Linked DNA regions of Macaca mulatta. The protein of the gene in region 2 interacts with the protein of the main gene of each other region in a pairwise test. Links are inferred from orthologs where the notes say so. Each region holds a gene or a part of one and is shown on either strand. Other genes may lie near its edges. The genes, in order: CDKN2B, CDK4 and CCND2.

Region 1 (3,747 bases), on a different chromosome or scaffold from region 2:
AAACAATTAAGTTTCTTTTTTCTTCCTTTCTTTTTAAAATTTATTTAGTTCTCATAGCAAATCCTGTGTGGAAGGCTTTTGTTTGTCATGTGTCTGTGCTCATAACTGGATTGTACTGTGATAATTTGAGCCAAAGTTGGAGATTAGAAGGGAAAAGTAAATTAAATCATGCAAAATCTTATAAAATTACAAGAATAAATGATTTTTCCTTAATAAACAGTTCATCATTTTTATTTTAGAGTATAACATTTTTAATGTAACATAAAACTAACTATATATACTACAGGATTTTATAATAGCTAAGATTTAAAAACGTTAAACAGTAAATATTTTGCTGTATAAAAAGAGCTTGGGCCAGGCACAGTGGCTTATGCTTGTAATTCCAGCACTTTGGGAGGCCAAAGTGGGCAGATCACCTGAGGTCAGGAGTTCGAGACCAGCCTGGCCAATATGGTGAAATCCCGTCTGTACTACAATAAATAAATAAATAAATAAGATGGGCATGGTGGGGCGTGCCTGAAGTCCCAGCAACTCAGGAGGCTGAGGCAGGAGAATCACTTGCACCCTGAAAGCAGAGGTTGCAGTGAGCTGAGATCACACCAGTGCACTCCAGCCTGGCTGACAAAGTGAGGCCTCGTCTCAAATAAATAAATAAATAAATAAATAAATAAATAGAGCTTGGATGTTAGCAATCAGGATGATGCATAACTTAGAAAAAAATGATGTTTTGCAGGAGTAATCCTGTAGCAGCCGTTTGTGAACATGAACATTATGAAAACATTTGCTGTCATATTTTAAGTTAATTATAAGACAATTTTTGGTAACAAATGTCTAAAATTGAGTTATTTGTTATGGGTTTATGTACTTTAAAATATACCATTTAATTGAAAGGCAGTATACTTCTCATGTTTTGTCAGCTTGTTTCATTAATATTAGAAATGTTCATTTCATCTCTTGAAAACCATAAGTTATATCTACTAGTGATGTAAGGATAGTTTACATAGAAAAAAGAGGGGAAAATAGCTGTTCTTAGTATTTCAGAAAATGGTGAATTACATATATAACTTGTTTTATAATTATTAATAGAATTTTAAGTTTTTAAGAAGCACTTTACAATAGTTTTGCTCCTTTAAAAATCCCTTATTTGTTATACCACTATTCTAAGAATTCAAAAGAAATGAACACTTCTTTAAAATCTACACTATTAACAAGATTCCTTAATATTAGCTTAGTTTTGGAGGGTGATAGTGAGGTGAATACTGAATATGGCCAATAGCCAACAGTAAAGTACAAAAGCATTGTCCTAGATTGTAAAATAAATTAAAAATATCAGTACTAATTAAAGCAGGATTCGTAAACATTGAATAAGTGTATTTTAACGATGAAGATAAGGATGCATTATTTATGAAGATCCTTTGCCATTCAAAAAGGACCTAACAGTTGCTGCAGGAATATTTTTGTAATCTGGGCACTGAGTATGATAATTAAAGAATGAGAAACCTATAGAACTATATATTTTTTCTCTTATGCATCACTCATAAGACACTGCTAACATAAAAGGAACTAAGTGCTGTGGCTGAGGATTCCGGTCTCATTCCTTTGAATTCAATTAGCCTCCATGAGAAAACAATACAACAGATTTCATATAGTAGCTTAAAAGTTTACACTGATTTTTTTCCATGTACTATGATTTTGTAGAATTCCTTAAATCCAATCCAGAATGTGTAACTTATAGTTTACTTATCTTTATCGTTGAAAGCAAACAGACAAGATAATCGTCCTCCCTAAATAACCTTTCCTTTTCGCCTTTTCTCCCCAATTCAATCTATTCCTTGCATCTCTGATGATGAGATGGCAGAACAAAAACCACTAGAAAAGCTTAAACAGTGGATTTTTCAATGTCTCTCTTTAGAATTTTTGCTGGATAAAAGCTTGTTTTACGCCTGGGCTGCACACCTCCGGCCAAGGGAGACTGCTATACAAATCTACATCGGCGATCTTGATTCCAGCCCCGACCCGCCGAGGCCGCGCCCCGCGTTCGCGCGCCCCCTGCCGGCGAGGCCCTGGGGCCCCAGCTACCTGGATCGCGCGCCTCCCGAAGCGGTTGACTCCGTTGGGATCCGCGCCGGCTTCCAGGAGCTGTCGCACCTTCTCCACTAGTCCCCGCGCCGCGGCGCTGGTCAGGCCCTCATCGCTGCCGCCTCCACTGGGCATGCCCTTGTTCTCCTCGCGCATTCCGCAGTCCCCAGACGCGCAGAGGCCCGGATAATCCACCGTTGGCCGTAAACTTAACGACACTCCTCCCTTCTTTCCCACGCTGCTCCGGCGCACTCTCTCCTTCCTAGAAGAGCTGGGCTCAGCTTCATTACCCTCCCGCCGTCCTTCTGCGGCTTGGGGCCCCGTGCAATGGTCGAGCCGCCGGTAGTTAGCTCCGGGCTTTTCCTGGCGCTCAAGAACTAGCGGGCGCTCCTGGATTGCTTCTGGGGAAAAGCGCCTAGCGCGGCCGCAGCTGAGCTCAAAGCGGCTCTGGCCGCAGGGTGCGGACGCGTCGCGGAGTCCTCACTACCCCGCCTCGCTCTGGCAGAGTGGGGAGCCAGCCGGCAAAGAATTCCGTTTTCAGCTGGGCCAAGGGGCCGGCCTCTCCCCACCCCCTTAGGCTCCGCCCCCTGTCCGCTGTGCTCGCCGGGAGGCCAGGCCCCGGCCGACGCGTCACGAGGGAGGGGAAGCCTGCCCAAAGGTGCTGAGACGCATGCGCCAGAGACTGGGCCAGGGAGCCGCCAGGAATGCCGGCTGGACTGCTCGCTGGATGTCCGGTAAAGCCAAGGCTAATATTTTGGGAATGTTGACCCACTACCCTCAGCAACTAATCCCCAGTAGGCGGAGCAGAGGATTTCTGTTCCTTCAGCCTTATGCCAGTTGGTTTCACTGTGGAGACGTTAGTGGCTCCCTTGTGGCCGAGAGAAAGGCATTGAAAATAACTCTGTCTTTCTTAAGATGTCTGAGAGCGACAGCTCTGCACCTGTCATACAAGTTAAATTCATCCCTAGGCAGTACTTGAACTTCACAAGTTTCATATCTTGTGTCAACCTTAGCGGTTTTCTCTTGGATGTGTCTTTCTATTTGAATTTGTCAACCATAAAAATAGAGAAAAATCCCGAGAATCATGTTTTGCATGTGCTTTTTAATTCTTTCCATGTTTGCATTATGGATACAACCCTTAAAAGAGAGAGAGAGAGAGAGAGAGAGAGAGAGAAAACTAGTTCGAGATTGAGAGTGGCAACCTAGCACACAAGACAAAAAAAAATTGTGCTTTAAGAATCTGAGATCCCAGTTTCATCATATTTGCACAGTAAATCTTTGCACTCTTACCTATTTAAACCCACTTTGTCAAGTATTTTATTTTTATTTATCATGAGTAATAAAGGAAATTTATGCAGTAATAATGAAACATAAGAGAGGGGTGTGGTGCTGGGCTTGTCATTAAACAGGCTGAACCTGTCATTAAATTCTCTTCTGAAGATTTAAATGCCAAGTGCTTTTATTTTCTTTCTAATCTTCCTGGGTGAGTTTGAATCAACATTTATTACTTTAAATATTTAAAACATTTCAGCGGATGCTACATTGGATAGGAAGAGAACCACAAGTTATGGATTTGTTGCCTAAAAACTTTGGTGAGGAACTACATAAGTGGACCTCTCCTAAAAGTGAACAATTTTTATTTACAGAATCATTTTGGTTCGGAGTGCT
Region 2 (3,747 bases):
CGACAAGGCGAGACTCCGTCTCAAAAAAAAAAAAAAAGCCAGTCATGGTGGCATGCACCTATAGTTTCTGCTACTCAGGAGGCTGAGATGGGAGAATTGCTTGAGCCCAGGAGATAGAGGCTACAGTGAGCTGTAATTGGGCCATTGCACTCCAGCCTGGGTGACAGAGTGAAACCTTATTGCAAAAATAAATAAATAAATAAAAGAGAATAAAGGGATATGAAGTTCCTAATTCTAGAGCATTTCAGAGCTTTCTGCTATGGGCAAAGTAGTCAGTAGTATGCAAGTAAAAGAATGGGGCCAGGTCCAGTAGTTCACGCTTGTAATCCCAGCACTTTGGGAGATAGCGGTGGGAGGACTGCTTGAGTACAAGAGTTCAAGACCAGCCTGGGCAATATACTGAGACCCCCCCTCTCTACAGAAATATTAAAAAACTAGCTGGGCATGGAGTGTCAGCTACTTGGGAGGCTGAGATGGGAGGATCACTTGAGCCCAGGAGGTTGACACTGCAGTGAGCTGTGATCATGCCATTGCAATCCAGCCTGAGCAACAAAGCAAGCCCTGGTCTCAAAAAAAAAAAAAAAAAAAAAAAAAAGAGAAAAAGAAAGAATGGGCAGGGTGTGGACGTGGTTTATGAACAAGCAATTTGGGGAATTCAAGGTGGTCCAGGGTATGTGGGTCCCATACTTTCGACGAAACATCTCTGCAAAGATACAGCCAACACTCCACATGTCCACAGGTGTTGCATATGTGGACTGCAGAAGAACTTCGGGAGCTCGGTACCAGAGTGTAACAACCTAAAGAGAATAGGAAGAATGGATGGGGACTCCATGGGTTACCACAAAACACAACTTGCTTGACTGAACACACGAAGCACATGACTTCTCAATTGCTACAGGCAATCACTCTCCTACTCCCAACCAGAACCCATTTTGGTACCATCTTTCTACTGACCACGGGTGTAAGTGCCATCTGGTAGCTGTAGATTCTGGCCAGGCCAAAGTCAGCCAGCTTGACTGTTCCACCACTTGTCACCAGAATGTTCTCTGGCTTCAGATCTCGGTGAACGATGCAATTTGCATGAAGGAAATCTAGGCCTCTTAGAAACTGGCGCATCAAATCCTAGTTTAGAAGGGGGAGGTACAGATGCACTGGAAACTAGGCACACCATACCTGAAATCCCAGGAGGTTTTACTACAAAGGTCCCAATCCACCTCTCAATGCCTACCAACCCCACTCACCTTGATGGTCTCGGCTGGCAAGCCTGGTGGGGGTGCTTTGTCCAGATACGTCCTTAGGTCTTGGTCTACATGCTCAAACACCAGGGTTACCTTGATCTCCCGGTCAGTTCGGGATGTGGCACAGACGTCCATCAGCCTGGCCAGAGTAAATGCTCACTTTTCAATCCCCTTTAACCCAACATGGCCTCTCATTATTTCCTCAGGGTCCCCACTTCTCTACAGATCACCACACCCCACCTATAGGCTGTCTTTTCCCTTTACTCCCCACTCCCCTCGTCACCACCTTCTCACCGGACTACATTGGGATGTTCAAAAGCCTCCAGTCGCCTCAGTAAGGCCACCTCCCGAACTGTGCTGATGGGAAGGCCTCCTCCAGCTCCTCCTCCATTGGGGACTCTCACACTCTTGAGGGCCACAAAGTGGCCACTGTGGGGATCACGGGCCTTGTACACTGTCCCATAGGCACCGACACCAATTTCAGCCACTGGCTCATATCGAGAGGTAGCCATTCTCAGATCAAGGGCGACCCTACAATCACAGACTCCTATCACCAAAAGTCCCTTACAGAATTAGCATGGTATGAGCCTGCAGCAACAAAAGGACTCCCAAAAAAAAGCACAAAGAGCAACACTAGCATCCCATCCCCCGCTCGCAGCCTTCCTTGGGGCCGGCCCCAGAGATAACACAATGACTCAATACCAACCCCTCCAGCCACGTGAGGCCCTGCAATAAAAAACGCATTTTCCTTTGGGACAATCGCGCCCTGCACAAAGATCACACATGACACATGCCTTGCATCAAAGATCCTACACCTCAGTCCCTAAAATTATACTTTCCCATGACCACAAAGGCCCCACTTCCCGCCCTTGAGCGACCCCTCCATAACCAGCTCGAGAAACGAACGCGTGGAAAACTGTGAGGGGGGCGGGCACTGGTTCTCATTCCCGGGAAGGGACTGCACTTACCTCACGCCAGGCCGGGGTGCTGCGGGGGCGGCCCGTTATCGGGGCCCCGGAGCTGGTTCCTACGGCCCCATACACCCAAGCTCGGTCCGGGGCAGCTGGACGCAGAGGGCCCGACCATAGACACAGGCCGCAAGCTAGAGAGGCCCCCTCACCCCCACCCTCACCATGTGACCAGCTGCCAAAGAGGCGCGCGGAAACTGGGAGGGCGGGGCGAACGCCGGACGTTCTGGGCACGTGACTGCCACCCATGCGCGGAGGGGTGGCCAGGAGCCGCTTTGACGGGGAGGAGGGCGAAGAGTGTAAGGGGGCGGAGGGGCGATGGTAGCCACGTGATCTGTTGCTATCACACGTGACCGCTTGACATTGCTCTGAGGAGCAGAGGTGTGGTTACGCGGCGGGCACATGACTGGCTGCCACAACCCCCGCCGCGGGGGGGCGCGGTAAGGGGACAAGAGAGGGTGGAGCCCGAGGCGGTGCCATGGCAACCTAGGCCACCCAGAGCCCAACTCCCGGCTGAAGGATTGTCTCACTACCGGTCTGAAGGCTGAACTCCAGTCTCACTACCGGTCTTTCAGCCTGTCTACATTGGGGAGGGAATGGGAGTTGGGGTACCAGAGGTGATGCTGTCACCTTTTCGCTCCACCATGATAAAACATACTCTCATTTGTGTCATTGATTCATTCATTAATTCTACAACATTTTACTGAGTGCTTGCTTCCAGTGTGTATGTGGGTTTTTATTTTGTTTTGTTTCTGGTGTCTGTCACTGGCCCTTTAAAGTAGTGGTACGACTATCTAGAAAGATGTAGCCAACAATGGGGTCTTCTAAAATAGGGAGTAAACAATGCCCATTTGAGGGCAAAACTACGATTAAAGGACGGACAGAAGGCAGATTAATACAGTAATCCAACAGGTTCAGTGACAAGGTAATGCCCCCTCTTTTCTCAACTTCCAAATCTCCCTGGGAGTGTTAATGCAAAGACCTGAGGCCATCTGGCAGAGAAGTTATTAATGAGCAGGAGACAGGAATACTTGACCTTTAAGTTTTTTTTTTCCCCAGTAGGACGGTTCTATGATTATGTGATATTTTTATATGTGTATATATACTTCTATGTATATATGTATGTATATATTATTTATTACATGTAATATATAAGATGGATACAGGAGTGTACATGTGCAAGAAAGTTACCACCACACCCCCTGCACCCTCCAGACCACCACAATGAATGAAAATGACATGTCTCCTTCTGTAAACCTTGTGACTGCTCATTTGGAGTCATTGTGCTTCCCTCTTTTTCCCTAGTGCCTCTTTCTTAGCACTTAGCGGTGTCCAGAACACACTTTTTCCCAAATGGCCTCTGCCCACAGACACCGAGGTAGACGTAGGTAGATTTCTCCTACTTTCTTTGTTTTATTGGCTCCAAGGTCTTCATGTCCTAGCCCTTTGAGGGTATGGGAGTAAAGGAGGAAAGCGGTTAGTGTCTCATTTGTGAGAATTTGTGTAAAATCTAAAGCCATTTTATTACCCTATTTGCCACT
Region 3 (3,747 bases), about 60 Mb from region 2:
ATAGTAGGAACACAAAAAATATAGACTGTGGTTTCCTATTAAATGAGTTATTGCCCGTCAGTGTGTAAATTCTATTGGTGGGGTCATTTTGGATCCCAAGAATCCGCTCTGGAAGTGGTGAGAAGAAGGCATATTGTTGGCCAGGGGAAAGCGGGAATCGCAGAAAGGAAGGGAAGAAGGGGCCGGTCATTACCAGCAGCTCCTGAGGCTTGATGGAGTTGTCGGTGTAAATGCACAGCTTCTCCGCAGTCAGCGGGCTGGTCTCTTTGAGTTTGGAGGCCAGGAACATGCAGACAGCACCCAGGAGTTGCAGATGGGACTTTGGAGTCGGGACCCCAGCCAAGAAACGGTCCAGGTAATTCATGGCCAGAGGGAAGACCTCTTCTTCGCACTTCTGTTCCTCACAGACCTATAATGGGAGTGGGAGAGGGTTGGGGGGCGGGGGTGGAGAGCACAGCATCAGCAAAAGAGAAAAAGAATGAAAAAGCATAATCTATGGGAACAAAAAAATTTAATTTTTTGTGGGGAGGGGGAGGGGAGTAAAATGGGTGATAAGAATAAAGAACAAAGATGAGGAAACTGGGGTGAATCAGAATAGCCCATCGGTGCTTTGGTATTCCAGAGAGCCTATAAAAGGGGGTGAACTACAGCTCCAAAACGGGGAGTCGGGGAAGTGCGCAGCAGCCGCGGCAGCTCCGCGACGCTCCCTTTGGCTACTCCTTCGCGCACTCTAACTCACTCACTCTTTTTTGGATTTCGTCATCTTTTCAAAAAATCAATAAAAATATTCTGGAGGCTCCGGGGGTCCACTTCTTGGTCTCATCCGGATCCCCAGATCCTCCTCTATCATTCCCGACAATTGGAAAAAATGTCTGGGGGGGTCCCTGCGGCCCAGGGGCCGCTATTGGGGGGGCGGGTGGGGAGAGGTGGGGAAGAGAGGGGGAGGGAGGAGAGGAGGAAGAGCGCCGCAGCCTCGGCAGCTGGAGTCGGAGCGGGGGGGGACGGTTTCAAAAAATAATTAAAAATCGAGGAAATATCCTAGAAAAGCCCTTTTGGCGTGAAAACCCCAAAGAGGAGCCAGGCTTCCCGAAAGGGAGGTTTCGGGTGCCAGAAAGGTCTGTATTCCGACCCCTGGGGCTTTGGATCCCGGGAGGAAACTTGAAGGGGTGAGCGCCGCGGCGGGAGTGTCCGGCTGCGGCCCACAAGGACAGAAACTAGGGAACGTGGTGACGAGCTAGGGGAAAGACGGGAGCAGGGAGCCCTGGAAAGAGGCACGGGGGGCTCCAACCTCTCTTTTAGGGGTGACCCGATATCCCCCCTACACACACCCCCTCCCCCCCCTTCCTACCCCACCCAAATCTCCGCACCGAGGAAGCTGGAAAACCAAACTGTAAGTAACCTTCGTGAGGTGGGGGGTGGGGGAGAGGGCACGATTAAAAGTGGGGTGGCCGGGATAATGGGGTGCGAGGGTAAGCGGGCGACGTTTCCCAGCCTTTCCAAGGGAGTTTGCAAAGCAACATGGCGAAACCACGGCAGGTCCAGAGCTGTGCATACGTGGGCACACGGCTCACTGGGCAAAGACTTGGAGTGAGGGGCAAGAAGTGGTTCTTTTGGGTTCCCCCGAAACACACGTTTCTTCAATGGGACTTCCGGGGCTCCTGAATTCCCCGTTTCTCTCCTTCTCCCTCCTCCCTCCACCTCCCCCCTGAAGTGCCAGCGCGGAGTCGCGACCACATGCGGGGACCTGAGGCCAAGACGAATTTGCTCTGGCCTTTTGGGGGGCTGCCTTTCTACTTGGGGTCCCGATTTCAGGCCCCGACTCCCTTCCTGACCGCAGCGCCAGCAGCCGCGGCGGCTTCGCAAAAGACAGGTCGCGAGGGGGGTGGGAAGAAGAGGCAGCCACATGCAGACACACGCGCGCGGGATGCTCCCCCACCCCCGCCCAGGGCAGCCTCGCTTCTCCCAGATTTTCCTCCCCCCTCTCCCTCCCCAGTTTATCTGGAGAGGAACAGAAAAGAAGCCACGCGTCTCGCCAAAGGGCGCGCGGTGACCTCCCGCACAGGAGCCGAGAGGTCGGCGCGGGGATTGACCTCTCCCAGGTTTAGGGCTCCGGCCGGGGACCCGAGAATCCGGGAGGGGTCCTGGCTCCTAGCGAGCGCCGCCCGCCGACCTACCTCCAGCATCCAGGTGGCCACCATCCTGCGCATGTAGGGTTGGATGTCCTTCTGCACGCACTTGAAGTAGGAGCACTGCGGAAGGTAGCGCTCCTCGATGGTGAGCAGGTTCTGCAGGACGCGGTCGTCTTGGAGCAGGTTGCGGTCACGCACGGCCCTGCGGACCGGGTCCACCTCGCAGCACAGCAGCTCCATGGCCAGCCCGGCGACCCCTCTCTCCCCTGCTTTCTCCGGTCTGGAAAAGTGTTTTTCTCTTTTTGTTTTTTGGAAGGGGAGGGGAAAGGGTTCCCCTTACCTCCTTCCTTTGGCTAAATAGGGGGTTTTCGGGGGAGAGGTGAGAGCAGAGAGAGAAGGTGGAGCGGAAGAGAGGCGAGGATCGGGTGGTGGGCGAGCAGAGCCTCCGGGCTGCCCCACTCGCACCGGTCCTCCCCTTCAAACTGGTCTCGCTCTCCCCAGCTCGCTCTTCTCCGCTCTGAGGCGGTGACGCAAGCTGGCTGGGCAGTTAGCTCTCCTCCCTCTCCCCGCGCTCCCCGCTCTGGTTCCTCCTCCCCTTCCCTCCCCTCCCGGTCCTCCCCTCCTCCTTTCAATCTCTCCCTCCCTCCCTCCTTTTCCCCTCTCGTTATTAAGGAGAACAGCAGCTGGCCCGACCTAACTTCAAACGCAGTCCCCCGCCCCCCCACCCCTCTCCCTCCATCCAGCCCTGCATGCCAGGGGCCCCGGACAGGGCAACCCACAAAAAACTACCGATTCCTATTTCTGCCCTCTTAATTTCACTCATTCTGTAGGTGTAGCACGCCAAAATACGACCCTCCAACTTTGGCTTCTTCAAAACGGATCCTAATACTTCTGCCCTTGGATTTAAGATCCAGGAACGTAGGGTAGATTGTTTGAAGATGGGGTGACCTCGGACAATTTGGAAATAGTTCCCTTAAGTGAAAAATAAGGGAGGGGGTGATTTTAGAAAATAGCAACCTCGCATACTCAGAGATAAAGGTCATGTCCCTGAAGTTTGTGTTCCTGATAACTTCGAAGCTGTTCCAAAAGCCCCGATTAAAGGGACCAGAACAACGTCCCTTCTGCCCCCCTGCAGACTGTGGGCAGAGGAAAAAGAAGAAGGAGGGGTGCGTGTGAGGAAGGAAGGGGGATGCTTCTCTGGAGGGATAGAATGTGATCCTCGAGCAGAAACCATAGTGTTTCTGGGGGCCCTTGGGGCGCCGTGGGGCGACGCGGTGCAGCGCCTAGGGCCGCCGCAGGCCGGGGGCAGGGCTCCCAGCGGTTTCTCCGCGGCCAGCGGCCACGCAGGAAAAACCCGCTTCCTCGCCCCTGTATCTGCTGACAAGCCGCCCGAGGTGTCTGCGCTGAGCGTGGCCACACCGATACAGCTTTCTAGGAAATGGCCCGGGAGGGGGAGGGGGCGAGTGAGGGATTAGGTCTGGCTCCCCCTCGCTCCCCCTGCGCAAACACCACCACCCCTTCCTTTCCCCGGAGGCATGAGGCCTCCACCCTCGGTCCTTCGTCCGCATCCTCGCCGACCCCTCCGGTTGCGCGCCTCACTCGCCAGGCTTTTTCCCTG

The links.
Region 1: the proteins of CDK4 (region 2) and CDKN2B interact in binary tests that used the Homo sapiens proteins (3 or more experiments, as listed by UniProt). The link is inferred for Macaca mulatta from reciprocal best matches to the Homo sapiens genes CDK4 and CDKN2B.
Region 3: the proteins of CDK4 (region 2) and CCND2 interact in binary tests that used the Homo sapiens proteins (3 or more experiments, as listed by UniProt). The link is inferred for Macaca mulatta from reciprocal best matches to the Homo sapiens genes CDK4 and CCND2.

Annotation. Positions count from the first base shown.
Region 1 is NC_133420.1:77,206,429-77,210,175, reverse strand, and holds the start of CDKN2B (cyclin-dependent kinase 4 inhibitor B), read right to left. Parts: upstream 2,517-3,747; 5' UTR 2,236-2,516; coding exon 2,080-2,235; intron 1-2,079. UniProt on the Homo sapiens protein: Interacts strongly with CDK4 and CDK6. Potent inhibitor. Potential effector of TGF-beta induced cell cycle arrest.
Region 2 is NC_133416.1:64,929,467-64,933,213, forward strand, and holds the start of CDK4 (cyclin-dependent kinase 4), read right to left. Parts: upstream 2,363-3,747; 5' UTR 2,207-2,362; intron 1,770-2,206; 5' UTR 1,751-1,769; coding exon 1,533-1,750; intron 1,378-1,532; coding exon 1,242-1,377; intron 1,123-1,241; coding exon 955-1,122; intron 798-954; coding exon 688-797; intron 1-687.
Region 3 is NC_133416.1:5,167,548-5,171,294, reverse strand, and holds the start of CCND2 (G1/S-specific cyclin-D2), read right to left. Parts: upstream 2,649-3,747; 5' UTR 2,370-2,648; coding exon 2,175-2,369; intron 410-2,174; coding exon 194-409; intron 1-193. UniProt on the Homo sapiens protein: Regulatory component of the cyclin D2-CDK4 (DC) complex that phosphorylates and inhibits members of the retinoblastoma (RB) protein family including RB1 and regulates the cell-cycle during G(1)/S transition.